Neurospora crassa OR74A: one gene and its partners. The protein of the gene in region 2 interacts with the protein of the main gene of each other region in a pairwise test. Links are inferred from orthologs where the notes say so. Each region holds a gene or a part of one and is shown on either strand. Other genes may lie near its edges.

What was found.
Region 1: the proteins of erg-3 (region 2) and NCU02693 interact in binary tests that used the Saccharomyces cerevisiae proteins (3 or more experiments, as listed by UniProt). The link is inferred for Neurospora crassa OR74A from reciprocal best matches to the Saccharomyces cerevisiae genes ERG24 and ERG26.
Region 3: the proteins of erg-3 (region 2) and erg-1 interact in binary tests that used the Saccharomyces cerevisiae proteins (3 or more experiments, as listed by UniProt). The link is inferred for Neurospora crassa OR74A from reciprocal best matches to the Saccharomyces cerevisiae genes ERG24 and ERG2.

What each region holds. Positions count from the first base shown.
Region 1 is NC_026501.1:3,220,617-3,230,614, forward strand, and holds NCU02693 (C-3 sterol dehydrogenase/C-4 decarboxylase), read right to left. Parts: upstream 6,114-9,998; 5' UTR 5,914-6,113; coding exon 5,431-5,913; intron 5,355-5,430; coding exon 4,719-5,354; 3' UTR 4,291-4,718; downstream 1-4,290. Other genes in the region: NCU02692 (hypothetical protein), read left to right, coding at 2,652-4,184; NCU02694 (hypothetical protein), read left to right, coding at 7,099-8,913; NCU02695 (hypothetical protein), read right to left, coding at 9,398-9,481, 9,614-9,919. UniProt on the Saccharomyces cerevisiae protein: Sterol-4-alpha-carboxylate 3-dehydrogenase; part of the third module of ergosterol biosynthesis pathway that includes the late steps of the pathway.
Region 2 is NC_026503.1:5,233,142-5,243,117, forward strand, and holds erg-3 (c-14 sterol reductase ERG-3), read right to left. Parts: upstream 5,846-9,976; 5' UTR 5,682-5,845; coding exon 5,605-5,681; intron 5,518-5,604; coding exon 4,122-5,517; 3' UTR 3,945-4,121; downstream 1-3,944. Other genes in the region: NCU08763 (hypothetical protein), read left to right, coding at 1-1,931; NCU10567 (hypothetical protein), read right to left, coding at 2,177-2,995; NCU08761 (vacuolar sorting receptor), read left to right, coding at 6,806-7,765, 7,942-8,094; gh61-5 (endoglucanase II), read left to right, coding at 9,515-9,763, 9,970-9,976. UniProt on the Saccharomyces cerevisiae protein: Delta(14)-sterol reductase; part of the third module of ergosterol biosynthesis pathway that includes the late steps of the pathway. ERG24 reduces the C14=C15 double bond of 4,4-dimethyl-cholesta-8,14,24-trienol to produce 4,4-dimethyl-cholesta-8,24-dienol.
Region 3 is NC_026505.1:5,016,984-5,026,570, reverse strand, and holds erg-1 (C-8 sterol isomerase erg-1), read right to left. Parts: upstream 5,578-9,587; 5' UTR 5,371-5,577; coding exon 4,938-5,370; intron 4,851-4,937; coding exon 4,513-4,850; 3' UTR 4,263-4,512; intron 4,155-4,262; 3' UTR 3,880-4,154; downstream 1-3,879. Other genes in the region: NCU04155 (exosome component 1), read left to right, coding at 6,116-6,589, 6,664-6,834; NCU04154 (hypothetical protein), read left to right, coding at 8,096-9,244. UniProt on the Saccharomyces cerevisiae protein: C-8 sterol isomerase; part of the third module of ergosterol biosynthesis pathway that includes the late steps of the pathway. ERG2 catalyzes the reaction which results in unsaturation at C-7 in the B ring of sterols and thus converts fecosterol to episterol.

The DNA of each region.
Region 1 (9,998 bases), on a different chromosome or scaffold from region 2:
ACCGAGACCGCAACAACTACACAGTAGGTTCGGTTTCACAAGACGGGACACCGGAGCAGCCTATATCAGAAACCTTGGCTTCTATATCTGGAAAGTTTGACCCGTCAGGGAATTGCGTGAAGAAATCGGCCTGTATCCGAGACCGAGAAGGATAATGAGGTCCATCATTGACATGAGAACATCGTATAATCTCGTCGCTGCTGCCTTTCCGGCTACCAAGTTCGTTGTCTGAAAGTCGAATGGCCAGCCTGCGAAAGAAATCTGTGTGAAAGTCTGAACGTCCTTTTACGTGGGTCAGTAAGGAGCGACAAATCATGTATAATCTCATGCGGTATCAACTGACCTATGGTGAAATAATCAAGTCCTTCTTACAAAACAGTGGTGTCTGGGCTTGGCGAGCTTAAACGCTTATCTCTGGTCTCGATCTGATGATATGTCGTCGAGAATGTTCGGGTCGGAAGACAATTTGGGCCGCCCAACGAGGGGGGAAAAAATATGAAAGATAAAAACAAGAGAAAGAAAATGAATAGAGAAAAAGAAAGAAAGACACGATATCTGCAAATAAATTATTGGGAATTATCACGCAACTGAATCACGACAAGAGCTGGACGGGAAACACGAATAGGAGCAGAAATGGACGTGCTTGAAGCACAATATTAAGCTTGATCAGATTCTGTCCGCAGAAGACAGCCGATGGTCTAGAAGAAATTCCGATGGCTAGAAGACCGAAGCGGGTCTGGCCAAGTACCCTGCTACCGAGTAGACTAGAGAAGATAGGTACGGTAACGTAGTGCTACGCAGTGTGTAGAATTCAGCTGCATATTTGAATGTCGCAAGACAGCATGCGCGTTAGCGAGTCAAAAGCAAAGCCGTTGCTGCATGGTCGTGACGGCATTTACCACATGTGCGAATTAAGATGACTATCTCGACGATTCCTGAGAGCCAATAACCACAACCGGCGCAAGGACCGCGGGGCCGGGAGCTGAAGGGTCGTGTTCCATTGCTAACGTGGAAGCCATGTGCGCGTATCAGTGATCAACGGGGCGTTCAGTTTCCCAGCTAGTGCACTTGTGGAACAGCGCCTTCACCGATTCTCCGAATGCTGCGCGCACTACAGTATCGTGAAAAGCAACCAGTAGGGAACATGATCGAATTACAGCATTAAAATTTTTGGAGAAATCCCAGAGTTACCATCCCGCTTGGCAGTGATAACATGAATGCAAGCCCACCTGGATGCAGCCGAGGTGCCTTGTTACTGGCATTCCCCCAAGCCAAACAAAAGCCACCGATTCGCAACTATTCCAGGTTGGCGTTGTTGGTGCAGCACTGGACGGGAAGTCTGGCCACTCCACCGGGAACAGCATCACACAAGGCTTTGGGATATGGAACTTGAACATCAATAACTGGCACCAACATCTATATCGATTTTGGCGTCCGTCCAAATTGCTGTTGATGTTGGATAAAGCACCAAATACGACCCTTACCTGCAGTTGTATGGATGGTCGGTCGTTGGCCTTTCGAGTTGAGAGAGGGAGAGAGAGACATACCCCCTACCCACAGGCAAGTGCGGGTGCTAAGGGATGAAGGCTCGGCTGTCAGCCCGATTAGTACGCGCTCAGATATTCCATGCATGACAGACCTGGACTGTTCGTAGTTTGTAGAGGTATGCAGTGGAAGACCGGACTTGAGTTTAACAGAAAGAGGCCTAGCGGCTGGGTAAACGAAAAAGCAAAAGGCGCCCCCCTCCCAAGGCGGCACCGCTACAAAAAGGAAAAACAAAAAGAAAAGAAAAAGGCGAAAGGAAGAAAAAGTGGGAAGAAGAGCTACAGGACGGAAATCGTGTAATGTACAACCGAGCTCTCGGCTGCAGCCTGCGAAGCTTCCATTGCATGTAGTGTATTGTAAATGGAGGCCAACGGTCAACAATGTCTCGTGCGGTTCACCCGTTGCATGCGGTGATACTGTCCGTCGACTACCGGCTGGATCAGATAGTATAGGCAGAACCGTACATAGTAGTTACCTACATAGGTAGACAGGAGTCGTCGGACTCATCATAAGGTAAGTAACTGGAGATTGTTCCCCGAGGAAAACAAACTCATCGCGCCAAGACCTGGACGGAGTCACCTATAGTAGGGACTATACTTACGGGGCAAAAGCGAAGCCTTCCCGAAATGGAAGATTACATAATCAGATAGACTCAACGCAGCATACTTACTGTAGCATCTTCTCCAACAAACCTCCCGACTTCACTGCTCCGTGCGCAGGGATTGGCCACTGTCGCCTATAAACATCACAACGCCCGTCGACAAGGGTGCAGCTGCCTGTTTTGCTGCAATGATGAACGGATGATCCAACTTGAGCCAACCGCTTCATAATAGTTATTACAACAAGGGAACTGAACAGAACTTGCACAACACCCGGCGACTTCCATTCCGGTGTTCTCAGCAAGGACTGAAGTTCCTGGCAGCCGGCAAGGCTACTACTCATTTACACTAGTCGCGCCAGACTGATTGATTGTTGCGGTTGAGCCCCCCGCCGCCCCTCACCCCCCCCCCCCCCCCCCCTTTTTTTTTTCCCGATCTTCTAGCATAAGAAAAGGGGCGGATTCACACACAGACATATCTTTCTGGGCGCAATCGTGCACTCGTCCAATGGGTTTCATGCCGGGCCTCACAATAACCACCCGCGTCTCCCCGGACGCCGGGACCACCAGCCCGATCGGCTCGAGCGGCACTGCCGGGGATGTCGGAGCCCCTGATGCGGAGACCCCACAAAATGCGCCCTCACCGACCCGCCCGCCCGTTAGCCCCATCACCCCGACTCAGGAATCGGCACGGTTGTCCGGTCCCGATGGCCATGGAGATGGTCCAATTCATGAACAAGCACATCGCCATCGTCACCGTCAACAACATACAACTTTTTCATCATCAGCATCAACATCATCACACTCACTGACGCCACCCTTCACAAGCACTAACAATAATGGTAATAACAACAATGACAACAACAACATCCCCAGCTTCGCCCGAGGGCGACCCACATTCACGCACTCACAAGTAGACCAAGTCGGCATTCCTCCGCCGCCACCGCAACCCATAGCCTTCGACGACAACCCGGACGTGCTAGCGCTCAAGAGCGCCATCACCATCTTGCAGCTGCAGCGCCAGCGAGCCACGGCAGACATACAGGCGCTGAACCGAGCCAAAGCTGCTGCACTTTCGGACCCAGGGGCGTTCGTTGCTGACTTGGCGGCGGGGAGGATTGGGATGGATGGTGATCCGTTGCTTAATGGGCCTGGACCTACTGGTGATGGTAGTAGTAACGATGACGACAATGATGACGATGGGGATGACGATGGGGATGACGATGGGGATGACGATGGGGATGAGGATGGGGATGAGGATATGAACTCAGAAGGAGACAGTGTTGATGGCGAAGATGATGGCGATGATGGCGAATATGATGGAGCAGCGGTCCCATCGAGTTCGGGATTACCGCACGACCCAGACGGCGATATATCCATGTCCGGCGCCGGCGCCGGCGCTGGGAATACCTCACCCACATCTACCCATAATTGTAACAGCAACAACAGCAGACGCAATGTACCAAAGAGGAAAGACCGCGTCAGCAAGACAACAACAACAACAACAACAACAAAACCGCCACAGGGCCTCTCCAAAACCTGGCGCTCCCTTCCCAAGCCGCAAACGGTTGTCCGCTGTCCGCCCATCAACTGGGCCCAGTACGCCATCGTAGGCGAGTCGCTTGATAAGCTGCACCGCGAGCAATTGACGGCGCCTACGCTGGGGGTACCTGCGGTTCTTAGTGTCGGGGGAGTATATGAATTCAGAGGGACAGCGGCGGCGGCAGCAGGAGCAGCACCAGGAGGGGGCGTTGTTAGCGTTGGTAATGGAAGTGGTTATGCCATGGGAGATACCACGGCAACAACAGACCGGACCTCTACGCCACCAACGACAACGATGGCGACCACGGCTGGAACAGAAGCGCAGCAGTCACCAGGGGAGACATTGGGACAGGGACAAGGGCAAGGGCAAGGACAAGGACAATTTCCAACACTAGGACGAAATGAACAATCGCAGAGATTGGTTGGTATTGCAGCGCCGTACACGCCTGGAAGAGATAAGATCGAGAGGACGACAGGCAGGAAAGGAGCCAAGCGCTGAACTTGACATTTCCTAAGACATATGAAGGAATTGAAGTGGCCTACGAAGGGGATAGCATGGCGTTAGGGTATCATGGTGTATGGGATTAGCAAGAGAATTAAGTTTAGCGAGCGATCAAGATCGGAATGCTTCTGTTAGTCACTTATGGACCGGTAACAGACCTAATCTAGAAACTACGTACACGCACCGGCATCATACTGTTCAGTCTGGGCTTTGTTGAAGGAGTTTCGTAGCTTCGCGTGACATGTTTAGCATCTGTCCGTGGATCAATATCCAGCTCACCCCTTCATCCGGCCAACATGTCTGAGAGAGGCATGCCTCGTCGTCCGTCATCCAAATGTCGTCATTAGATATTATTATACAGCGGGACAGATAGTACGGCGCGTTCCAGCACGCAAGGCCCGACTTATTTCGCCTCATCAGCGCTTGTCCAATGTTTCATATACAGTTATCATGCCTTCCGTCGATGTTTGCTTCTTTCACCACCACCACCACCACACCCTTTATCCCTTCCACATTCAAGGCCTGCTATACCTATTGCAACTTCTCCCCCTTCTGCTGCTCCAGCGTCCACTTAACCGACCTCTTCACCGCCTCATCCAATGGCACCAGCGGCTTATATCCCAACCGCTTCTTAGCCTTGGAAATATCGTAGTACCTCGTCATGCAGCTATAAATGATGCGCTGCCTATTAAACGTCGGCGGCTTGCGAATGATCCCAAAGAAGACTTCCGACAAAAAGCCCAGCACAATACCAACATCGCGCGGCAAAACCCACACGTGCTCAGTCCCATGGGGAGATCCCGCAGCGTTCCACACAGCCCGGCAGAAATCCCAAAAGTACACGGGCGAGTCGTTGGTAATGATGAAGGCCTCGCCATCGACGCGCTCATGGTCTAGTGGGGCGATCTTGAGCTTGGAGGTTTGGAGGAGGGCGACGGCGGCCAACAAGTGACCGTGCGCTACGTTCTCGACGTAGGTGAAGTCGAAGAGGTTATCGTTGTCGCCGACTTGAACCGAGGTCTTGCCGTTCTGGTACAGTTTGATTAGGTGGTACAGCGTCATGGTGTCGCCTTCGCCCATGATGCCTGAGGGACGGATGGAGCAGGTGAGCAGGGAAGGGGCGGCAGCGGAACGGTTGGCCTGGAGGACCAGTTCTTCGGCGGCGGCCTGGAGGGAGGGGGAGGTTAGTTTTGGGATGCATCACTCTTGGGGGATATGGGAGAGAGGGGAAGTAGGAGGGTACCTTTGTCTCCGAATAGTACTCGCTCTGCTGGGCTCCACGGATGACGGGCCAACGTTCGTCCGCATTGATGAGGTCGGACTTGTTATCACTCATCACACTGGCGGAACTGGTGTAGACGAGGGCGGTAACGCCCGTCTGCTGACACGCCTTGATGATGGCGGCGGTGCCGTCGACGTTGACCTTCTTGAACAGCGCATGAGAGACGCTGTCGTTGGACTGGGCGGCAGGCGACGCGGTGTGGATGACGACCTGGGGCTTGACCTGGTTGAAGATGGTTTCGAGCCTGGCGGGGTCTGTGATGTCGGCCTCGAAGTATTGGACGCCATCCGACTCGGGTCGCCGGTTCCGCGTGCAGCGTAGGTCGATGACGGAAACGGAGCAGATGTAGTCGCGGAGGAGCACGCGGACAACGTGGTGACCGAGGAAGCCACAGCCGCCAATCACCATGACGGAGCCAAGCTCCGGCTTCTTTTCTGAGGCCATCGTGGGATGTATGCGGGGTATCGACAAGGGAAGAGCAATGGATTGGAGCGTTGGGAGAAAGGCAGGAAAGATGGACTGAAGGAGGGTCAATTGGGAAACTGTCTAGTTCTAGAGCAAGGGACGTGGGATCATGGGTAGGATATCTTCGAAGCCGGGGGACAAGGATGCCATTTTGAGCTACAAATTGCAACCTATCAGGGACATGCCACTGTGTCTCTGGCTCCGCGTCTCGGCTCCAAGCACGCCACTTACAGTAATTTCCCCTCAAAGTGCATGCACCTGATAATGCATAAAGCCCTCTAGATGCGTAGAAATTGGCGGCCGCAATTAGTTGGTATGGGAAATCGCATAAGTGCTTGAATGCCCCTGTATGTGAAACGGCCGGCCATTTCGGTGTAATATGCACTATTTGGAACACCTTTTTCAGGGCCTTTTAGGACTTTATAGGCAAGCTAGCACTCTCTGAACCTCTGAAATTTTCATACTAAGGGAGCAAAAAGACTTGGCATGTGCCTGCTAGTGCATATGTGCCTCTAGATGCATATAAACCCCTGGCCCGGATTACATGCACTTTCAGGGGAAATTACTGTACCTAGCTCTTGACAGCCAGTGAGGTACGACACGGCGACACGCCTGTGGAAAACATCGTGACCCCTTTTTAAGAGGCTGGATTTTGGGCGGAACCTACAGAAGGGCAAAATGAAGGACCCCTGTTGTCCATCAAGGTCGACGGGGTGCGGCTCGCAGTGGACCTGAGTGGATGAAGGCGCACAGGGACCCGTGCTCTCCCATCTTCCAAGTTCCAACATCGTGAGACCTTGCCATAAAGGTGGAACCTAGTACTATCGATCCCGCCTGCACATAGAGGTACCCAACTGAATGCGACGGGCACGCGGTTTTCCATTTTTTTTTTGTTGCCAGATCCCGTCGTGCAGCCAGTCAACAATGCGCATTTGCTCCCTTTCGTTGTCCTCCCACAACGGCGTTTCTCTTCACTTCCACCTCGTAAGAATCTGGAACACTTTACTGTCTGTCAGGCAACAGCCTTCCATCCAGCGTCTCACCCTTACCCATAAACCCATGATCCAGCACACTTCCAACTTCTATATCTCGATTGCAACGCAGCCCAGCCCATTCCATGGCACTCGACAACCACAGCTTAAACTGGTGCCCTGACGCAGTGTGATGAACAAAAAATCCGCGACCGAAATCCTCGTCCATATCACAGCTCCTAGCAGATCGAAAGACGATGCCAACTATAGAGCACTCGCCAATGCATATAACAACTTTGAACCCACCACGCGCACATCCGTGTTCAGCAAGACAATATCACCAAATGTCGTAGTTCATCAGGCCGCCGTGCAGCCTCAGCCCGTTGGAAATGGCTCCCTAGGACCCTCCACGCAACCGGATCAGATCCTTCGGTCGTCTGAAGTAGCAGGATTTGTCGAAACACCGGTGTTATCGTGGCGCGATGCCGCGAACAATTTAGCATCGCCCAGCTTGCGGATGAGGCACGATGAGCCTAGCCAATACTCACAGGTTTCATGGCAACCTCCTGCAAGCGTTGTTCAAGATTCACTGCCAGACAATAATGTGACTTTGTCTCAGTTTTGCACACCGACAAGGCTGTTAGAGGACTATCTACATCCTGGTGATTCCAGTCAGTTTCTGTCGCCAGTCATAGAGAGGGCCCCGAGTGGACAGCAACCAACAGCCGCCCGGATCCAGAGTCAGCATGAGGGATACTCGACATTCCCCACCATCAGCCATATCTCGCAGCGGCGACAGGTGGCTAGCGGTGAGCCTCACATAGCGCTCTTACCACCGGATTCTTCTTTACAAGGGAATAGCCAGGAACATGCGGCGGAAGGCGGTACTCAAAGGACCCTCAGTTCACTGATCAATAGGGCCAAGAAACCTCATGTTGCTGCGCCATCAGAAAGGGATTTATCATGTCGTCAACTCGCTAGGCGCATGTCAATCACAGAATATTCTCCCAGACGCCAAACACCAGCAGATCCCCGAGGAAAGTTTATACCTCTCTCGCCAGTGATAAACGCCAACAACAAGCGCCGCCGACCCGTCCAGCATGGGCCGTCTCCCTCCTCCCGAGACAGCGACTTCACGATAGCATCATCACAGCCTGCGGTCCAAGAGCAAGTTCCAGCCACCGACACCATCCTTTGCAAACAAGACTTATCCAAGCAATGCCTATCGTCATCCCGTACCGAATCCGAACCGCCACCAATCAAGTGTCGCCGCACATGTCCCGAGCCAGCGCCAGCACCAGCACCATCATCACGATCAGCTACGCCCGCTTCATTGACGTTTTTGTCCGTCCCCTCATCTTCCGCAAACCCAATCTCAAGCTCCGGAAAGCCCCTCGTCCGCTCTTCCAGTGATATCGGCCCCCGACAAGACGCTATCAAATCCAACCAGATCGCCTCACGAAGCGCCCGCCTCTCGTCGGTCCTCGAGCTCCATTCGCCCTGCCCTCCAACGTCCGATCACGTATTCGATCTCTCATCTTCTTTTTCAAAGGAGAAAGGAGAAGGAGAAGCAGAAAACGATCTCTCATTGATGACCCCCGTCCTCGCCAAGCTCGCCATCGACCTGAAACTCCCCAAACGATTCCAGCCCTCACTCCGGACACGCGCCACGCGCCCTTACGAGCGGGGCTACTGGCTGGTGGACTGCACGTCATGGGGCCGCGAGCTCAAGGAGTCGTGCTGGCTTTTTCTAGCGGACTACCTGGGTAGCGGGGCGGCGGGCTGGGGGGTCTGGTGCACGCGGGATGAAGCGTTCACTCGTTTGAGATTGTATTGCTGGGGCGCGGTGGTTGGTCACCTATACCTTGTCTTGTACATAATTAGCAAGCGGGAGGTGCTGTATACAGGGACGGAATGGGTGGATGGGGACGGGGAGGTGGTCATTAGGATGGAAGCTAGGTCGCGGTCTGTAATGGCCACGGGGGTGGGCACGTTGAGTGCGAGGTAGGGCTCTAGGTTGTTGTGGCAGATTTGAATGGGCGTGGGAAACTGGTCCTGGTTCAAAGTGGACCGAAGCTGGGAGTTGCGGGCTCAGCTGATGAGTTGCGGGCGTTTAACAACCTACAGCCCCTGGTATCAGTGATATTGGGGGGTAACCAAACTTGAATTTGGCCCATGACTACTCTTCGTGTACATGAACTTGAGGCTTTGCGATGCAGTGTACTTCTGGTCCCTTCTTTATTTGGGTTCCTAGTTGGACACCCACATTCGTTCCTTTATTGATCCATAAAGATTATCCGATGATTCGCCTCGCTTCCCCAACAACCTTACAAATACATTTCGGTGCCACTCGAACAACAGAGTGCGACGGAGCATCGGCAACGAGCCGGCTAATTGTGTGACGAACGAAGCTCATGGAGGTCGCTCGGAGCCCATATAAATTCACATGAACCGAACCGGAAAAGGGGCGTCGAGGGGCGTGATAACCACACTCAAGCGGCAGCATGAGCGGCGGCGGCAGCAGCTCTCTCACTGAGGTATCTCTCCTTATCGACTGCAGCGTTGTCGACGTAAGGCTGGGTGAAGCATACGGTTGTTAACACGGTGATCAAGTCAGGCAAGAACGTCGTTGCGAACGGGGCAAGAACCTGTCGCACTACGATGGACAAGAGGGAAATGGATGACGAGGAAGGATTGAAAAGACCTACCTGTTTTGCCGCATCGTCCATGGACTTCCACTCCTCGGACAAAGCCTTCGCTATTTCCGGTAGGGGCTTGCCAGCATAGAGGGCGTCCTTTTGGCGCGACATGCAAAAGAACAAAAAGGCACTCCTTAGGCGCTTTGGGCGCCGGTCATCGGGGATAGGATGGACGACCGAAGTGACACCGAGGCGCTTCAGCGCATGACGGGCATAATTGGCGTCCTCGATCTCCATGGGTGTCTTGGTGAGTACCCACGCTGCCCGCGTAGCCACGCCATCCTGGTGAGCCTTGTCGGCCTTGGCTTGGTAGCGCTGTGTACAGAAAGATCGCAGTCAGCAAAGGAACAGGACGAAGTATGGTACAAACTTGAGAAGTAGCTGAAGGGCGGCA
Region 2 (9,976 bases):
AGACCTTTGCCATAGCGAAACCACCGCACTCACAACAACAACCCCAACTCCACCACTCCCAATCCCTCCCACAGCTCCAACTCCAACAATCCGAGTCCTCCAGAAAGGAAGAGACAAAAGGATTCTGGTCCAACGCCCTCTCCGAAACCGCCTACCTCGCATCGGGCCTCATTTCCCACCCCTTTGAGTCCACCAAGCACTACACCATTCTGCGCCACTCGCCGGCTGTCATCTGGCACCACGGCCCCAAAACGACCGTGACCATCTCTATCTTTTCGAGTCCCAAGTACCCGCTTCCTGCTTTGCCTTCGTTGCCGCCTGCCGCTGGTGTCAGCTCAGATGTAGCCGGGAATGGAAACGGATGGTCGTTGTGGATTCAACAGCGTGGATTTTCGGGAGACAGTGGGATGAAGATCAAGAACTGGTTAGGTGGCAGAGAGGATTGGGTTTGTGTGACGCCTGCTAGTAAGGTTTTGGCTGAGGAGTTGGAGACTGGAAGTGCTGGCAAAACAGGCGGACAAGGATTGTTAGGGCTGGGAGGGGCGACGGAAGAGAGGGGGTGGAAGAGGGATATCAAGCGGACGGAGAAGAAGCTGAAGAAGGAATTTGGCGACAAAAAGGGACATGTGGCACGCTTGACGGCTGTGGTGAGGGTGCCGGAGGGGTGTGAGGATGGGTATTTCCGGGTTCATTTGTGCGTCAACCCAGATGGGTCAGAAAAGGACCACGAGAAAAGGAAGAAGAGTGAGAAAGATCCACAGTCGCTGCTTGAAGAGCAGCGGAAGAAGATGAAGGTGTTGTGCTCGAGCCCAATCTTTAGGTTGGCGAGTACATCCACTGACCCTTCGTCCATCCGCGGCGCCTCTCTGTCGACCATGCCGCTGGAAATGGGCATCTCCCTCACCTCTTTCATTGCATCAGAGATGGTCGCCTCCAAAATTGCGCCGATCAAGGACCCGATCACTAAAATCATCGATCCCTACCGAGCGCATCCCATCGTTGAAGAACTAGGAATCATTGCTACCGAGGAGGTCAAGGCCGCGAGGGAAGAGGCCGAGGCGGAGGAGCAGGAACGGTTGAGGGAGTTATTTGGTGCTATGTGTGTTGTTGGTGCTGGTGGTGCTGCTGCAGGTATGGCGACGAGGAGAGGGCCAGAAGGACGTCAACAAGGGAGCGGAATGCCGGGCGTGGTTGGGCCCGACGAAGGACCGTTGGCGCCGCTGCCAATCCGGTTTGGAGGAAAAGTGGTTCCTGGGACAGGGAGAAGCACAGCGGAAATGGGCATCCCCACAGCCAACCTCAAAGACCTACCAGAGGAAATCAAGCACTACTTCAAAGGCGTGTATTTCGGCTATACTCGCATCATTCCCGGCAAGGGTGGCCCCATGGGTCCCGGAGGCCCAATGGAGGAGGTCTGGTATGAAGCGATCATTTCCTCGGGCCCGGTGCCGTACGCGAGGAAAACAGCCGTCATCGTGGAACAACAGACCACGGTGCACCTCATCACCGATTTCGGCGCGGGCGTAACCTTCTTTGGCAGCAAGGTGGAAGTGTTGGTCATGGGTTTTCTGCATCCAGTGTTGGACTATCGCGAGACTGGCCCGCAGTACCGGCTCGACACCGCCCACCAGGATGTCGTTCTTGCTCTAGCTAGTCTCAACCGGCCGAGATGGACCGCCCAATCCACCCTTCAACGCATGGAAGCCGCCGAAACAAACGCGGATGGGGAGAGGGGCTTGACAGGAGGTTTCAGGAGGACCAAGGTGGTGGAAAAGGGACAGGAAGTCAAAGAAAAGATAATCGAGGCCAAGGATGCGGTGGCGAAGCAGATCGATCGGATACCGGTGCATAAAGTGGGAATTAGAAGGGACGATGGCAAGGCCAGGGATCGGTATTATGGGACGGGAGGGTATTGGATTCCCAGATGTTAAGGAGTTATGGTTTCACTTACGGGCGGGATAACCGAAAAGTTTCTCTAACTGTAATGTATTGCTCTAATGGAGATGAGAGTAGAAGACTAAGTAAGGTGTAGAACAAGGCAAGGACACCTCCCCGGGCTGGCCGCCGGAAAATGATATTTCAAGAGACGGTTGGTCCAACCTATACACGTCAGCCCCAAAGACACCAGACGTGCCCTCACCCCACCAGTGCTGCTGTCATGTTCCATGCCGGATACTCAATGCTGCCCCGGAATTCCCGCCAGAATGTCGTCAAAAGTTGTGGCTCTTTGCCTCCTCCCTGTCGCCCAACGATGTACTCTAGACCCATTCGCATTCCCGCCGTTACTTGCGCCTCCAGTTCCCGGAGTCACGTCGTAGTCTGGATCAGCGTCTTTGCGCTTGCCTGTTAGGAAGCGAGAGATGCGGGAGAGGGTACCTGCTCGCTTCAGCTTCGAGCTTCCGTCTTGTTCTTGTGGTGGCGATGGCCGAGGGTCCCAACTGGGGGTGGAGGCAGCACGGCTTGTGCGAGTCGTGTTGGAGCGGGGGAGGGTTTCTTTTTCCGAGTAGTGGTGGCCGTCACGCTCCTTCTTAGTGGTGTTTCTCCTCCCCAAATCCTTCTCGTCGCCGTATCCGGCATCTGCCTTTTCCCTTCGACTCTCCCTGCGACTGGGCCTCCTATCCGGCTTCTCCCTGATACTAGCAATTCGATCCATGACAGAATCCACCCTCTTCCTCGTGCTATATCCTCGTTTAGGCTTCTCGTCGTCCCGTCGTACCGCGTTATGGTCACCAAATGGATCGTGATCCGGCCCTTCTTCAAGGACATAGCCTGGTTCTGTACCGTTGTTGACCTCTGGGACCTCGACACTAGGTAATGGCGTCGGAGGCTTGACTGGGAAGAGTTTGCCGTAGGTGGCGCCGGGTGCGCCCTCCCATAGGGTCCCATCGGTGTTGTCGCGGTAGGTGTAGACCTGGGTATCCGCGTCGTAGCCTATGCGGGTCATGTTCTCGGGTAGACGGTCGGCGTCTGTGTCGAGCTCTTTCCAGCGGCCCATGGCGACTCGATAGTCTGCTGGGTTGGGTATTCTTCTGTAGTAGGCGATCGGTGAAGAGATCGCAACGCGGTATTGGAGATATACTGGGGGAGGTGGTGGTAATGGCGACGACGTCGATGATGTGGGGAACAATCTAGAATAGGTAGAGCAGTTGTCGGATGACGATACGGATTTTGATGCGGGTGTGGACAGTCGTAGTAGGAGGAAGGTCGCCGTGATGGGTACCAAGTGTGGTTCGAGGCTAGGAAACTTTCTGTTTCGAATCAATTCCCTTTGGAGTTGATGATGTTTGTTGTTGTTGCTCTGACGGATGTTTCCTTTCGGGGTCGTCAGGGTCCTCAGAGTGGATGCGGGAGGAGCTTGGACGCCGTGCGGGTCGGACGATGATGTCACCTTTGTTTGTGTGTTACCCCTGGCCGGCGACTGGTTCGGTTGGAATGGCAACGCCCACGTCAAGGTACCAATTTGCCCAATTTGTTTCAGCTTGGTGATAATGATGGGGTGGGAAGGATGTTCCTAGGAATTCAAGGGTAGAGGGAAGTGTTGGGATCTTTGTAGGAATTGCGCATGAGTGATGGACAGAGGGAAAAATGGGGACGGACAACGCTGGATGGAGACGCACTGGAGACACTGGAGAATCTGGGGAGTCTGGCAAATCTGGACCCCTATCCCATCCTCTAAGCCTCCGTGATCAACGACTTGTGCGCCGCTCATTGGACACGACGCCTGTAACGTCGAAACGGATTGACAACTGACAAGTGTAAACACGAGAAGACCAGCCGCACTGGAGACTCTGGCTCAGCTGTTCACTGCCCCTTACGGACCGACAAAACATCCAGGGGCAGCTGCAGAGGACAGGAGTGCGTAACACGTCACTTCCTTCCGATCCCGCTCGCCATGTCATAAGGTCAAGCGTACCTACTTTCATAGTAGCGACGTGACGGGTGGCTTGGATCCATGAGTACTGTAGTTTCATTATATCCCTATCGGGTCTAGCTGTTGGCTTATTCCGTTACACTATTCCTCACACCATCCACAATTCCTCGCACCAACTGCAGATAACAGAGGAAGCTCCGCCGGGTATCCAAAACCACAACCACATAACCACAGAACATTATCCATCGGGCTAGTAGATGCCAGGGACAATTCTCCACTTGACAAGCTTCTTGTACTTTTCCCAATCGTCACCATACTTCTTGGAGCACTTCTCGTCATCTCTGAGGTCGCGGTGGATCAAGAGAATAGCAAAGTACAAGATGTAAAAGTAAGTGAAAACGATACCCCAGCCTCTCGCCTCGCCCTGGACAACCTCGCGCCCGTCAAGCATGGTAATTGCACCAGGGGCGTTGCTGCCGGCGCTCAAGATCTGGTAGCCAGCAATGCCGGTCGGGAGAGAATAGGGCCAGCTCTGAAGCCAGTCACCGAGATAATTGATGTGGCGAGCGATGCCCCACCATCCCGAGGTAATGAGTCGCGATCCAGTCTTGGTCTGGAGGTAGGTAAGGTGCTTAACACTAGGATCCTCGGGGTTCGTGCGAAAGTTGTTCTTCTGCGAGTTGGACAGGCGGAAGATGCTATAACCAGCAGCCAGGACAGCACCAACAGCAATCAGTCCGAAAGCGCCCAGCTGCTGAGGATGGACGGAAAGGTAGCGAGTCTGAGTCGAGTACATGAAGGGCACCCAAACGACATCTCCGAAACTCAGCATGAACCCGAAGCCGTCGGTAGTGATATCCATCGTAGTCAAGACGGCCGGCTCCATGTAGATTCCGTCAAAGACATAGAAAGCCTGGATGGCAGTGATGAAGAGAATTGAATCGGTGACGTAACCGTAAAGGCGGTATTGCTTGGCGATGAAGGCGCAGTTCAGAATGATCCAGCCCAGAAGACCAGGGCGCATTTCCATGAATTCCTTGATGTCTACTTGGCCGATGAGGGGCAGAGTGATGCGAGGATTGAGCTCGCGACCAATGTAGAAATCGTAGATGAGGGAGCCGGTGACACCGCCTGCTGCTAGCTGGCGCATGTCCTTGTTGCCCGGCTTCACGTCAAAGCTGCGAACGTAGACGAAGATGGCGAGGGCAAAAGCGAAGAGGATATTGGCGCTGATGATCTGGGCAAAGTTGTCGGAAATGAAAGTCCAAACGGGGAACTCGGCGCCCTGAGCGATGGTGCCGGCAGCCAGGATGGCCAAGGTGCACATGGCCGAGTTGAAAGCGTTCAGCTTGTACTTGAGCCGGCCGCCGGTGCTCAACTCGGTTCCCTCGACGTGGTGGCCGGGGAGAAAGCGGTATTGAACGAGCGAGAGAGCGTAGTAGCCCAAAGTCCACAGCGTGGCGGACCACGAGAAGAGGCCGAAGACGCCATTGTCAGGCCAGCCGATTTCGCGCTTGAGCTGGGCGAGGTCGAGAGACTTGGGGTGGAGGAGCGAGGGCGCGGGGCAGCCCGAGATGTCGTTGCAGAAAAGGTTGAAGACGTGGACGAGAATGGGGAGGCCAAAGGTGATGCCAAAGGCGCCGATGCTGTTTGATCGTTGTCAAGCTTGTTAGCGGGGCGTGGTCTGGACACGAACGAGATGGAGTCAGGGGTTCTGTTTTTGGTTGACTTACGGGCCGCCAAACTCGTAGTGCTGCTGGCGCGGCGCAACCGCCTTCTTTGGGGCAGCTTGGTTTTGCTTCCCGGCCATGGTGATGCTGGCTGTGATGCTGTAGACGACAACACGGAGAGCGGGGAGAGGATCAAGCTGCCTTTTTAAAATGTTCAGCTCCCCGATGTTGGTCGTGGGACAACTCAGCCGGCAGCCAACCAGACAACCGGAACAGTGACGGTCCCCGGTTCGGACGAAGAGGAGCCAAAGGACGGGAGCTTCGATGGGCCAATTGGGGGGCCAATTGACTGCTTCAATTAGGTTGCCGGCTGGGAGAGTGGAGCCAATCGACCTGTCGTGCCAGACGGATCTCTGCTTTCCGGCTGGGATCTCCAGTCTTGGCAACCTTCCTTGGCGTCTAAGTACTACTCGCTGTCTATGCTCAAAGTAAGTACTCCTGCTCACTCGATGTCCTCAAGTCGGTACCTTGCTTCCAGATGACCGTATCCGCGTATTGCTGTCTCCTTCGCAACTGGAGATCCTGATCCGGGCTGCTGATTATCCGAGAGGTGAGCAATGGTACGATTCCATAGTTCGAGCCGCTGTCTTGCCTGCCCCTCATGTCCAATCTCTCCTACCTGTTGGAGCAGCAATGTACCTTGGCGAATTCCATCTTGGTGTGGATGTACCCCTGATCTTCCCGGTCCAAGGAATGGGCCAATCATGGGAGACGTTGGATCTTGCTGGCCACTCAAAGACATGGAAGGCAGCCTTTACTTTGCTCGATTCAGTTTTGTTCCAGTGACGACAACAGGCACTCTTTGTTCTGCGCGCCACTTCCAGAACGGAAAGCCATCACCTAACAATTTCCACTACTGTACGACAAACAAAAAAACAACCAATTCTTACCACGAATTGATCTACAACCTCCGTCAACCCCGCGACTCCATCAGCAGCCAAATCGATCCAGACGGGACCTACCTCTACCTACCCACCCAATCCTTGGTCGATCCAAAGTTCTAGTGTAGTGTATACTACCTCTACCACTGCATGCAATAACCCCTCCTGACGCCGCTGCCACGAGTCACAATCATCACCACCACCACCAACCATACCACGAGCGAGCGCCACCGAGCGCCTTGCCCATTTCAGTTCCATCTCTCCCACTTTGTTCCATCACCAGTCCCGATATCGATCCCGATCCCGACCCCAATTCACCAAAAATGCATGCCCCAAGTCCCAGCCGGCTCCTCTCGAGCCTAGTCGCCTTCTGCGCCCTGACCGGTGCTGCCCACGCCTCCGATGACGAATCCTCCTCCGCGTCGCCCTCCCCATCATCAACAGCCACCACAACCTCCACCGTAACACCCTGCGTCGCCACCTCCACCAACGGTGCCTTCTACGACCTCCGCCCCGACATCGCCGTTGTTCCCGAAAAGGGCGTCAAGCTCGCCCGGGGTACGCACACCCAAGACTACCAAGCCCGCGGTTACGATTACGGATACAACATCACGCTCAACATATGCGCCCCTGTGGTGAAGGGCGTCGAGGATGTCGTGGGATTGACGAGCGAGGCATGGGCCAAGGTCGGTGCCTGGTATGAAAAGGGTGGCAAGGTATACAGCCTAGGGCAGGAGTCGGGAGCATTGAAGCCGAGAGGAAGGAAGCTGGTGCTGCAGTATACAGGAGGGTCGCCGTGTGAACCACCAGAGGACGACAAGGACGACAAACGGAAACGAAGCACCGGTGTTCACCAAGGCGCTGCGTACAGCAAATACTCGGACGACGAAGACGAAGATCGTGATGACGACCAGACCGACTCCGACTCCGACAAGCGGAAACACAGCAACGCATCCAAAAAGAAAACCCGCCGCAAGTCCGCAACCATCTCTTTCCTCTGCGACCGCTCCCCAGACACTTCCACCGCTGTCTCCTTCGTCGGCACCGACCCCGACGAATGCTCCTATTTTTTCGAGGTTCGCTCGCAACACGCCTGTGCCGGAGCCGAGCCACATAAACCGGGGTCCGTGGGTCCCGGAGGAGTCTTTGCCATCATCTTCTTCATTGCACTGGCGGTGTACGTCATTGGTGGTGTTTTCTACCAACGCACCGTCGTGAAGCAAAGAGGGTGGAGGCAGTTGCCCAACTATACTCTATGGGCCGGTATCTGGAGCTTTCTCAAGGTAGGACGTGCTGTTTCCTCTTGGCTCGGTTCCTTTGTGCGGGTGCAGGATCGCAAAGAGATGAGCAAGGTGTAGTATGAACGATAAACTGCGAGGGCGTGAACTGGTGAGGGAGCAGAAGCCGGCTGTGGTTGATACTTTCTACGGAGCCGTCATGCTAACTATCGATTGCGCAGGACATCTTCGTCATCCTTACTTCGTCCTGCGCTCGCTTCTTGCCCCTGCGCCGCGGATACCGATCTTTGAACACGTCGTCTCGTGGCCGATACGGTAACAACGACGACGAGAATCGGTTGATCGATCAGCTTGATGAGGAGTGGGACGATTGATTTCAACCTAGGCGCGGTAGTAGAAGTGGGATAGGTATGCTTGTGGCTCGTTTCTTCCATGTTCTTGTCTTTCGGAGTATCTGTTCTATCAATGCTTCTCTTCTGCTCGAGGCTGGTCCTTTCTTGGTCTGGCCGCTTTGTCTATCCACAGCATCATTGGGCCGGTCCGGTGTTTGGTGGTATCGAAAGACCCACGAAGCCTGTGGCACTTGAGGCACAGCGGATAGTTTTTGGTTATAGACTTTTGTATACATTTTTTCTTCCATCGCAGTACTTCGTTCGGTGTACGAAGGGTCAGAGATTCTGCTGCTTTGTCATGATGAACCCCCCCCTTTGCTACAAGGTCTCGTGCCCTGTGATCCGGCTGCTTGTACCGGAGTTGCAGTCTTCGCGCTGGCTTTCTTGCTTTTTATAAGCACAGCGCTAGACGCATCCGGTCATCGATTCCTCCATGCTTCCGGTTGTACTGAAAATGTCGGACCGCAAACCTTGCAATCGCGCTAGCAAGCTGCGGGTAGGGTTTCAGGCAAGTGAAATCCTGTTTCCGTTGCCAGTTTTGTTGACAAAACGTTCGGAACCGGAGGGTTAGTCAGGGGGCGGCGAGGTGGTATTGAAGCGTACCCCGGAACCCAACCCTCGACCGCAACGACAAATCTTCTTCCAACACCAAGCTCCAGTCATACACTCTACAGATCATTTTACAGGATTCTTGACTAGTCAATGGATTTTGCTAACCTCGTTTGACATCTCAAATTCTCATGTCTGACATCTTCTACCGTCGCCGTATGAGTAACCAAAACTCTCGGTTAAATGCCGCCCCTCGATCCTTGGCAGCCGCCCATCGACTACTCCCAAACTGTCAACGGCACACCATCCGCCGTTTCCCGGTTTCCGGGACTGTGGCTTACCATCCCCAGACACATTCCCCCACGGCACTGTCACTCCGTCTTGCCAAATTCGCGATGCCAAGTAGATTAACCACTCCATTCTAGCCCAGTTATGGTCATTCAGTCTACCGATCCTCGTCAGCAGAGACTGAAACAGCGCCGCACCGCGTTCCCGATCAAGTCTCCTTGCACCCCTTTCGTGTGCGATTATGGCACCTCACCTACAACAGGCTCCAGGCGTCACCATGCCCCCCCTGCTTGCCGCTCCGAAGTGGCCGGGGATGGATTCCCGGGGCAAGATCATGGGAATGACAGGACCAGCACTTAATGGGGATGACAGTTGGATTCATGCTCCGGGGTTGGAACCCAATTCAGGGACTGGCTGTGCCGTATCGCCGATCCGGTCCTTGGATCAAGTCCTAACTATCACAGACAGGATAAAAAGCTCAACCACACCCATAGAACGCTCTTTCTCTCTCTCTCTCCAGATCGCTCACGACATCCTCTACGTCTCACTCACGCACCAGCCCAACATGCGGTCCACTCTTGTCACCGGCCTCATCGCCGGCCTACTCTCCCAACAAGCCGCCGCCCACGCCACCTTCCAAGCCCTTTGGGTCGATGGTGCCGATTATGGCTCGCAATGCGCTCGCGTCCCTCCTTCCAACTCCCCCGTCACCGATGTGACTAGCAATGCCATGAGGTGTAACACGGGAACTTCGCCCGTTGCGAAGAAGTGCCCTGTCAAGGCGGGAAGTACGGTCACTGTTGAGATGCACCAGGTATGCTGCCATTCTCCTGCTCTCGTCAACCGCCGGCTTCGCCCCTGACTGCCTTCCATGCGGAGCAGGTTCTCAAGAGTTACCTGCTTTTCCCTCCCTCTCTTCTCTTTCCTCTTCCCTCCGCCACCTCCTTTTTTTTTTTCCATCCCGCCTGTTCATGTTCGCCTCAGTCACACCCTCCCGTACCGACGCTGACCTATAAGCAGCAAGCAA
Region 3 (9,587 bases), on a different chromosome or scaffold from region 2:
GATAAAGGTGCAGCTAAGGAGGGCCACGAGGTCCATGATTTCAGGTTACGGGCTGGCGATCCATGACTTGGAACACCGAGGCAAGATTGCTCAGATGAGCATGGCGGGTTGAGGGGGTAAAACCCATCTTGTTGGCAGCAAAGACAGTCTAGTGTCGTCTGTGCAATGCGAGCTGTAATGGAACAACAGGAACAGACAATGCGGGGAATGATAAGCAATAGATAACCACCCGCATCACGATGCCTTTCAGTCGAGGATATTTGTACTTGTACGACCGCAGCGGGCAGACGGGACAAAAGAGTTGGATCGTGGTGGTTGCACGGCTTTCTAATCTCACAGAGCGGTCAGCCAGCGATCCAAGGTTCATTATGGTTCAGCCTGAAGGAAGTTCCGTATGATACCAAGCTATCTCTGCCTTTGCCTCTACCGGACAACGGTCGATGCGGATGATGACATGATGCCCGGCCGACAACATGTGGACAGTATGAAACCCAAACGGGCAAGAGATGAGGTGTGTAGGTAGTCTTCTCGATGAATCAGATAAACACGATAAGCTGGACCATTTGCTCAGCATCAGCCGCCGAGTGATAAGGAAAATCCATGGCATTGGCAGGCATGACAGGCACACTAGTTCTAAGGGTTTAAATTGTCGATCAACAAGTGTTTATCATGACAGCATCTCGTTGTTTCTTGGGCCTGCATAGGCCTAGACTCCTCACAGGTCATGTGCCTCTGTCTTTGATCCTGGCTTCAGCTTCTTGCCTTGCCAGTTTCCGGTGTCAGGTGGTTTCCTAGTACCTTCCGTCGCTTTGTTGGATTTCAAGTTCCATTTGTTTCCTTCGGAACAATCACCTACCTAATAATCCAAGCATCGGATCCTTTCTGCTCCTCCCCTAGGTATGTGCGCAAAGCTGCCTGGCCAAGACTGGCGCCGAAAAACTTTCCGATGACGTTTGGATGCTGTGTGGACGGCAGGCGGCTCCGGCCTTTCTCATGCAGCTAAGAGGTTGCTCTTACCTTATACCTTCCCCATCCAGTCCCCAAATCCCATTCTCTTTAGTCAAGTTTCTTGGCAACTCCCACACTCTTGCCGCTCGGCTGCCCGTGCGGAAGACGTCTGGCGAGATTACTCGGTCAAGCTTTCAGCGCTCATCGATCCTCAAAACCGCAGTTTACATCTGATGCCTCAACTCTTTGGCGATATTTCCCGTCATTGCGCATAGCATTATGGCATGGAGTCCGTTCCAATGCGACCTGTCATTTATCTGGAATATTCTCTGCCGTTGACTGACGCAATGGAGGGTGGTTCATTATCTACCGGCGTCTCTGTATAACACACTGATACTACCTTCAGTTCTCGGAGGGTCGTCGTCCACGGATGGATTCCTCCAGGAGGCTCAAGTCGTCGTCGTCGTTCCAGCTATGTACCGGTGTCTGCAACAGTGCTTGGCAGTGGCCTCCCTGACAGTACGTACACCCGACAGGCCAAAAGAAAAAAGTCGGATCGTTCAAAAAGGCTCGCAGAAAGGACGGACGCTGGTACGTGTGTAGAGCTGGATGCCTGGTTGGTCTCAAGCGGGCGGCGGATCCCTCTTTTCTCTTACGTACAAACCGGCTCACTAATACCCTTTCGGAGCAGTCCCATGGCACTTGAGTTACCCTCCCACAGGCGTCCTTGTCGTCCACCACCGTCGACATTGGCAACGTTGGATCGGCATTGGCTCCCGATTTCGCTGCCTCGTTCCCCTTGCGAATACCATTTCCGCGGATGTCGCCTATGCAAGGAACCAAAGTTCTCGGCTGACCTTTTTTTATTTGTGTCCAGAGAATTGTCAAGAACCTTGCCTCCGGATTCTGTTTGGCTCTTCGCTGAAACCATACAACACGACAATATTTTGACACTATCGGGAGCCTTGCCGACCGATAGCAACACTGGCACGTGAAGCGGCGAAGCCCATAGCCGTAACGCACCTCGGGGGGACCTTTTTCAGCGCACCGCAGTGCCCTACGAGCCTACGAAACAGGAAGCTTGACAGGTCCCGTTTCTTCCCCGCAATTTCTGTCCCACTGGCGCTCCTGCTGGCGGGTCAAAAGAGCGGGGAAAGAAGGAAAGGAGTTCTGTTTGGTTGCCGTGGCGGTCAAGAAGAAGAAACAAGCAGCGGCGGCGGCACCATGCCGGCGTCAACCCATCCCGCTGGCGTTTCCATCAGCAGCAGCGCACCCTAATGCGGCACGAAAGCACAGGAACATGGCGACACTGGACCTCGCTCCACTGCCGGGTTCCACTGTATGACTTCTAGAACCATAAATTCGGCCTAGTTGTTCGCTCGAGCAGTGTCACGCGGCCCGTTGGAAAATTTGTTCTGATGTGAAAATTTTCACACCATACGTCCTACCTGCAATGCAAGGTGGCCTTGTGGCCTTGGGCAGTCTGGGAGTACGGATTCGTGGAGCGGAGGTGAGTTCGGTGTCCCGGTCATGAGAGATCTTACCCGTCCACCCCTGGAAGTGCCAGGCCGGTCAGCACCAGTGCGAACGGAAGTATGGGCCCACGGGGGCTTCATCCACTTCATCTACTTCGGATGAGGGAAGAAAACGCCTCCAAAGGGGAAACCTGTTATCCCAGAGAGGCTGTCATGCGTGAAAAAAAATGAAGTCCTGATCATGCAAAGGTGATGATTAAAATAACATGTTGCATCTCGGTTGCTGTATGCTCTACTTCGGATGAGGGGTCTAAAACTCCAAAGCCAACCAACCGCACGATATCGAAGTTGAAAGCCACCATTACGAGAAACCGATGATGAGGAAAATGGCGATGACAGGCGGGGACGCAGATGGGTCTGGGTTTCCTGTTGACAATGTCGATCAGCCTTGTTGGCCGGTACCGCTACCCAGGAAGTCATTGATAAACTGCCTGCCGCCCGGTCGAGATAATACTCCTCGCCAAAGGCCTCTCTCTATCTCGCTGTTCGTAATCTCAAAACTTGAGAATAAGGCCTGACGGCTTTACGCACAGTCATAGGCAACTTTTGGTCATGAGGAAATTTTATGTGCCATCCATGACGTCTTTAAATAAAGATGAGATGAACTGTGGCCGAGTGCTGATCCTGAGTCTCCATAGTCAAACTACGACAACTCGGTAGTACTAAGCTGAACGAAGTACAATCTACAGTGACAACATGGCGAAGATAACGTCAGGCGCTTAATAGTATTCTCGCAATTTTATATTCCTGAACGTCTCATGAAAGCCACGTTGAAGGTTTGGAAGACTCTAAGCTGGTCTCAAAGCTGTGTTCAACCTCTGTCCAACACTAAACACAGTCTGGTTATCGACAGAGACCCAGACTGACGATCGTAACTACATCTCTCTTGTCCAGCAACAACACTCCCATCATGAGAGCATCATGGCACGAGCAATGCTGTTAAGTATTACGATATGTTATTTTGGAAAATCCAATATTTCTTTCTTTGAATTAATTACCTCAGTCTCATTCAAAAACAAACCAATACTGAAATCACCCACTCCAATGATATCGTGATCTAGTCACACTCGTGTTCACCCATTTTGCCTTATTTATGTAGCATACCTTCCTTCAGGAGAAGAAGAGATCACAGTGGGCAACATGCCAGACTCTAAAGGCGTTGTCCATGGAAAACGTAACCCTCAGTGCTTGTATGCTTTCCCCAAAAGAAAAGTTGATGAAATTGGAATAAATCGAATCGTCATTTGTTCGTAAAACCATTCATCTTCGTCCAGCTTGTCGTTTCGCCGTCCCGTCTCGCGGCGCAGTGGCGTGGTGATGGACTGGCTACTTTGGCCGAAGTAAAATGAGGATAACAGTAAACCGAGGTATAGCCAGCTGTCATCGTAGGAAGGGGGGAATAGACTACTTGGTGGCATGAAGTCTAGAGCAGGAGATAGGCGTGCTGAGAAATGCCGAGGGAGTGTACACATGGATGTTAGGAATCGTGATGTTTGCGCGACGGCGGTTCAGGGGTTACCTAGTGATGTATAGATATGTAGAAAACATGGGCACGGACATGAGCACTTTGCCGAAGAGAGAAGTGAAGAGAGGAGTGAAGAGAGGAGTGAAGAGAGAAGTGAAGAGAGAAGTGAAGAGAAGAGAAGACAAAGCACCAATACAGAAGTCTGTCTGGAAGCGAGCGGGTCAGCTGTACTAAACCAGAACACAGGTATAATAAAGCCAACCCGTGCATTCTCTACGAAGGTTTGTGACAACTACCTCAGGGCAAGGACTCACCAGCGAATGTGCAAACAGAGGCGACGAACATTTCCAAAAGAGAGTATCTTTGTAGTAATGTTTTGACTACGTTACCGTAGATTGTGAATATAGGTATGGATATATCTTGATCTAACCCAAACTCCGGTCTAGCGTAGACGCCGCTTGTGCCGAGAAGCCTTATCTCTACTCTATATTCTATCCCATGGTTTCCAAAACCTTCGTAAGCAAAACACCCTTCGCGAAGGGGACAGTTCGTAAAGCACAATGCTTAGAACTTGCCCTTGAGCAAGTTGCTAATCATCTCGCGGCCGGTGATGACGGAGGTGCGCCAGAGGGTAGGGAAATCGAGCGTGCTGCTGAGGGTATCGGCATAACCGAAGAACAGCATGGGAGGGATCCAGCCGCGCGCATACTCGAGCGCGAAGCAGCTCTCGGGCATCCTGTACTGCTTGACGGTACCGCGGACGAGGTGGTGAACGGAACCGGGAGGGTAGACCTCAGGCTCGTACTCGCCGGGGACGTAGGCAGTCTGAGTGCCGGTGAGGATGTGGAAGTAGTCGTCGGCGGTGTGGCGGCCGGTGTGACCCTCAGTACCGATGGCAGTGCCTGTTGTGTGGAGTGTGCTGTTAGTGATGGGTCTGAAGAAGCGGGAAGCACAAGCTTGCGAAACGCGTGCTGGAGGATGGGGCTTACCAAAGATAATCAGGTACTCGGTGATGGAGGCGTGGATGATGTACATAGCACCCATGGCACCACCAGCGTTGTTGAACACCCACTCCTCATCGTTGTTGACGTAGGGCGCAACGCCGTTGCGGTCGTTCAGCTCGTCGACAATGTACTTGACAATAGCCTTGGTGTCGTTGCCGTGGGCGCTGATGGCGCGCTTGGACAGATCGTGAAGGTGCTCAGTATCGAAGACGTAGAAGGACTCGAGACGCTGCTCCAGGACGTAGGCGATAGGCGCAACTAGGGCGAACAAGATGGCGAAGAACTTGAGCCAGCCACCGATACTGCAGCGGCAGCGGCAGCTGCAGCGGCAAGACGAACCGGAGGAAGAGCGGCCGGAGCTAGAGCCAGAGCCGGACGGCTTGTTGCCGCCGGAGGAGGACTGCTTCTTGGGAGGCATTGTGACGGTTTGTGATTGACGAGACGGCACAATGTCGAGGAGGAGAAACAGGGGAGAGAGAAGACGGGAATCTTGAATTATAAAGAAGCAAAACAATGGCCACAGAGATTCCACCACCGACAGGGGGGTCCGTCAGCCCAACCTCAACAAACCTACCCACGGCAACCCCTGATTTCCTTGTGGAGGACCCTTGTGGTTGCAACATGCCCGCCCAGGCGGGTGTTGCGACTTCCGACACGTTCGATTTTGAGAGCTTTGACCAATAAGGACGCTCAATTGCGCGGATAGCGTTAAACCGATTTCTTGAAGGAGCCACCGCTACGACCAATTGGAGGCAGACACACCGGCAGGCTGGAGTGCATCCAGAAGCTCCGTAAAGCTCCCCTCGCCGGCAGGGCAGCTCAAGTTGCCCGGCAGCACTGTCGGTGCAAAGCACTCAGCGCGGCACTAACAGCGCTCTTGGCACTGACAGGGGTTTCTATTTTTTCGGTGCCCCTCCGTCATTGAGTCCCGTCCGCGGGCCCGGTCAATCACATTTCAATATTCCATCGAATGGACATTTACCTCCACGTACCAGAAGCTCCAATCTCAGTTGTTATCGCCGCGGGGTCCGTTTTGTCGCATCGTTATCTTTTTTTTGTTTAGTTTCCCTCTGCGCGTCGCACCGCGTCTCATACTATACCACTTTTACCCATTCGCAAACTTTTGTCATCGATAGCTCCATCAACCTAGAACGACCGACACAATGGCGAGCACATCCTCTTCCCCTTCGATGGCCATCCCCGGCCAATTCCTAGGCCCTGTCTCCAAGTTCCAACCCGGTCCTGGAACCCATATCCACGAGTCGAACCTCTACTCTTCGCTGCTCGGCGTCGTCAACATCACACAGCCCGCCAAGGCGCCTGGCCCTGCTAAGCGCTTGAACAAGATCATCAACACCCAGACCACGCCCGCCGAGCTACCGACCATCTCGGTATTGCGTTCAGCGGGTTCGTCAGACAAGCGCGAGGTGCTTCCTGAAGTGGGCAACATCGTGCTATGCCGGGTGATTCGCATCATGCCGCGCCAAGCCGTTGTGGCCATTCTAATTTGCGGCGATACTGTTTTGGAGGCCGAGTGGCAGGGCCTGATCAGAGTGCAGGACGTGAGAGCAACAGAGAAGGACAGGGTAAAGATCTACGACAGCTTCAGGCCTGGAGATATTGTCAGGGCCGAGGTGGTGAGTGCTCTTCTCCTCTCCCTTTCTGCCAGACATGGACTGAACACTTCCGCTAACGTGCTGCCACCCACTAGATTTCTCTTGGTGACCAAGCCAGCTACTACCTGTCGACAGCGCGTAACGAGCTCGGTGTCATCATGGCGACAAGCGAGGCCGGTAACACCATGTACCCCGTCAACTGGAAGGAATACAAGGACCCTGAGACGGGGCTAAGCGAACCCAGAAAGGTTGCGAAGCCCTACTGAAGTCGGCGGATGGAGTTTCGAAATGAGACATGAAAAAGATGCTTGAAAAGCAATGCATAGCGGAGTTACTAGCTTGAGGTACAGCGTGTTATCAAGGCGATACGGGCGTTAATCTGCTCGGAGAGCTCGCCGAGTAGTGAAAGCAGGTGCTCAATCAGTACCCGGTTGGGGACTTGCAAATGCGGCGGCACGTCGAATGTCGAGCTCTCACGGTCCGCCGGTCCATCATCGACACGGTCGGCCACTCGCATCACAAGCAAGCATCCCAGCGACAAATCCAAGCCCAGAGATGTCCTGGCCCCAGAGTTTCCGGCGGATACTCCAGGTACGCCAAGTTAGACCGCGCAGAACATGGTCTTGGGTGATAGGGCTCGCACTCAGAGAAGTATGGAGATGGGTACATGTCACGATTCACTCTTGACACAGCGGAACAACACAGTCATGATACAGCGCCTGTTTCAGGGATAACGAAGACGATGGCGAGTTAGTATGATCTTGTCACGTCGAGGAAAGATATAGTGACGCCAGACACGGCTACGCCTGTCATTGCATCAAGAAACTGGATACCCGTTTAAAATCTGCATAGAAGATACCAATAGCCTTCTTCATACGTACCTTACTATTCCCTTGCATACCTAGGTACATACCTCATCTGTTGTCTGTGCCGTCATCCGCCGCCTGGGCCAAACGTTAACGAGTGCTGTTTCTTTAAGGCGGCTCAAGGGCGGCTTGGCGTCTCGTATACCCCCCACATGGGCCTTGCATCGTGCATGCGGTACCTACATACCGCTGAAGATCATCGGAACGGCGGGGGGGCGTAGAACGGGGGAGGGCGGTAGATTCCCGTACGTCACCGAAACCCTGCGTGCCTAGAGGTACCTAGACACATTCATTCCACCCATTTCTTGTCCTCCCTTTTACAGCTTTGTCATTCTTCAAAAAAGGAGGAGGCAGAGTGGGAGCTCTGGCGGCGTGTTGGTTAGCGATCTCACTCAGCGCCCCCCAGATACACAAAACAAAGTCTAAGACGAAAACAACAAGCTCCCTGCCCCTGTTTCAACGGGAACCAGTCCATCCCCACCGCAACGGCGTCTCCATCTAGTTTTCTTGTTCCTGGCAGGAGTCCACTTCGTTCCCGAGAAGAAAATATCGAGATCAGACGAACCGCTTCAATCCATCATCTTTGATTTTCGTCCAATCCGACAAGACGCGCGAACTCTCCTTGTCGATATCATCTGTCCTAACGGGGCCCTGGTGAGCCATGTCAACCACCGCCACCATGACGATGACCGCCGCCCCCGTCATCGTCGAACCGGTCACCCAAACGTTATCTACCGCTCCTTGCTGCCCACAATGCGGTATCGATCTCGAGGGGACCCAACCCTTCTTGGAGATGCAGGCGGCCGTTCTCGATGCCCACAACAAGATCCAAGAACTTCAAAGCCAAGTGCGCCTGCTCAACGAAAAGGCTTCATCCGCCGTCGATCGTTGGGCCGACTACGAAGACGAGATAGCCCAACTACGAGGGCAACTCAAACAGCAGCAGCAACAACAACAACAACAACAACAACAACAACAACAACAACAACAACAACAACAACAACAACAACAACAACAACAATCCCAGTCCTCCCCAGTTGCGTCCCAAATATCATCACCGCAACAACAGCAACAACACGCCGATGCAGCCCTCGCCACCCCTCCCCAATCCGCAACCCCCTCCACCACTGCAACAGCCAACGCCTCCCCCGCCGCCCCTCGCAGCGTCAGCTCCGTCTCCTCCTTCCTGCCCACCGGCGCCGCCTCCCGTCTCTCCGCCTTCTTGACCTCGCGCAAATCAACGCCCAACCTCAAATCCGCCCAATCTTCTACCGGCCCTGTTCCTCATATGCCAACGCACCAATCCACCCTCTCGCAATCGTTCACTCTAAGCAGCCCCCTTCAACAACCGTTCCAGTCCACCTCCCCGTCCCTTCAGCACCAAAAAGAGATCTCCGACCTCCAGGCAGCCCTATCCCAAGAGAAATCCCTCCACACGGAAACCCGCGCCAAGCTAGCCAAAGCCGAAGCGAAACTAACCGCCACGTCGCGTGAGATTGAGGAGTTATCGGTGACCCTGTTCTCGGAAGCCAACGAGATGGTCGCGTCGGAAAGGAGGGCGAGAGCGAAGCTGGAGGAGCGGGTAAAGACGCTGGAGAAGAGAGACGAGCAGAAGAAGGAGAGGCTGGAAATGCTGGAGGGGGCGGTGAGGAGGATGGAGAGGGTTAGGGACGTTTTGAAGGAGACTTCGCAGGTGATGGAGCGGGGAACACATGGGAGTGAAGAGGGAGAAGAGGATAGTGATTACGAGGGGAGGTTACCGGTGGCGGTGATCAGGAGGCAGAACTCCAGGCTGGATCTGGATGATTGACGGTTGAAAGGAAAAAATAGTAATATCTAATGGTAACCTCCGGTGACATACAGGGAAGAATGTTGGTAATCCTAATATAATGTAATGACGGGGATCAGTGGGTATGTAACTTACTTAGTCTAGATCTTGGTTTTGGGCTGGCATCTGGCGGGGGGAAAAAGGGACACCAGGGGCAGGCAGGCAGGCATCATGATGAAATTGCATGGTCGGCAGGGCTTGGTTCTTTGGATATAGACGGAGTCGGGAAGGAGCACACATGGCAACAGCATTTGCTGGATACCTCTAGCACTCTAAGAGGCATGATAACAGTGACCTCGGAATAATCATAACTGCATTAATTTGG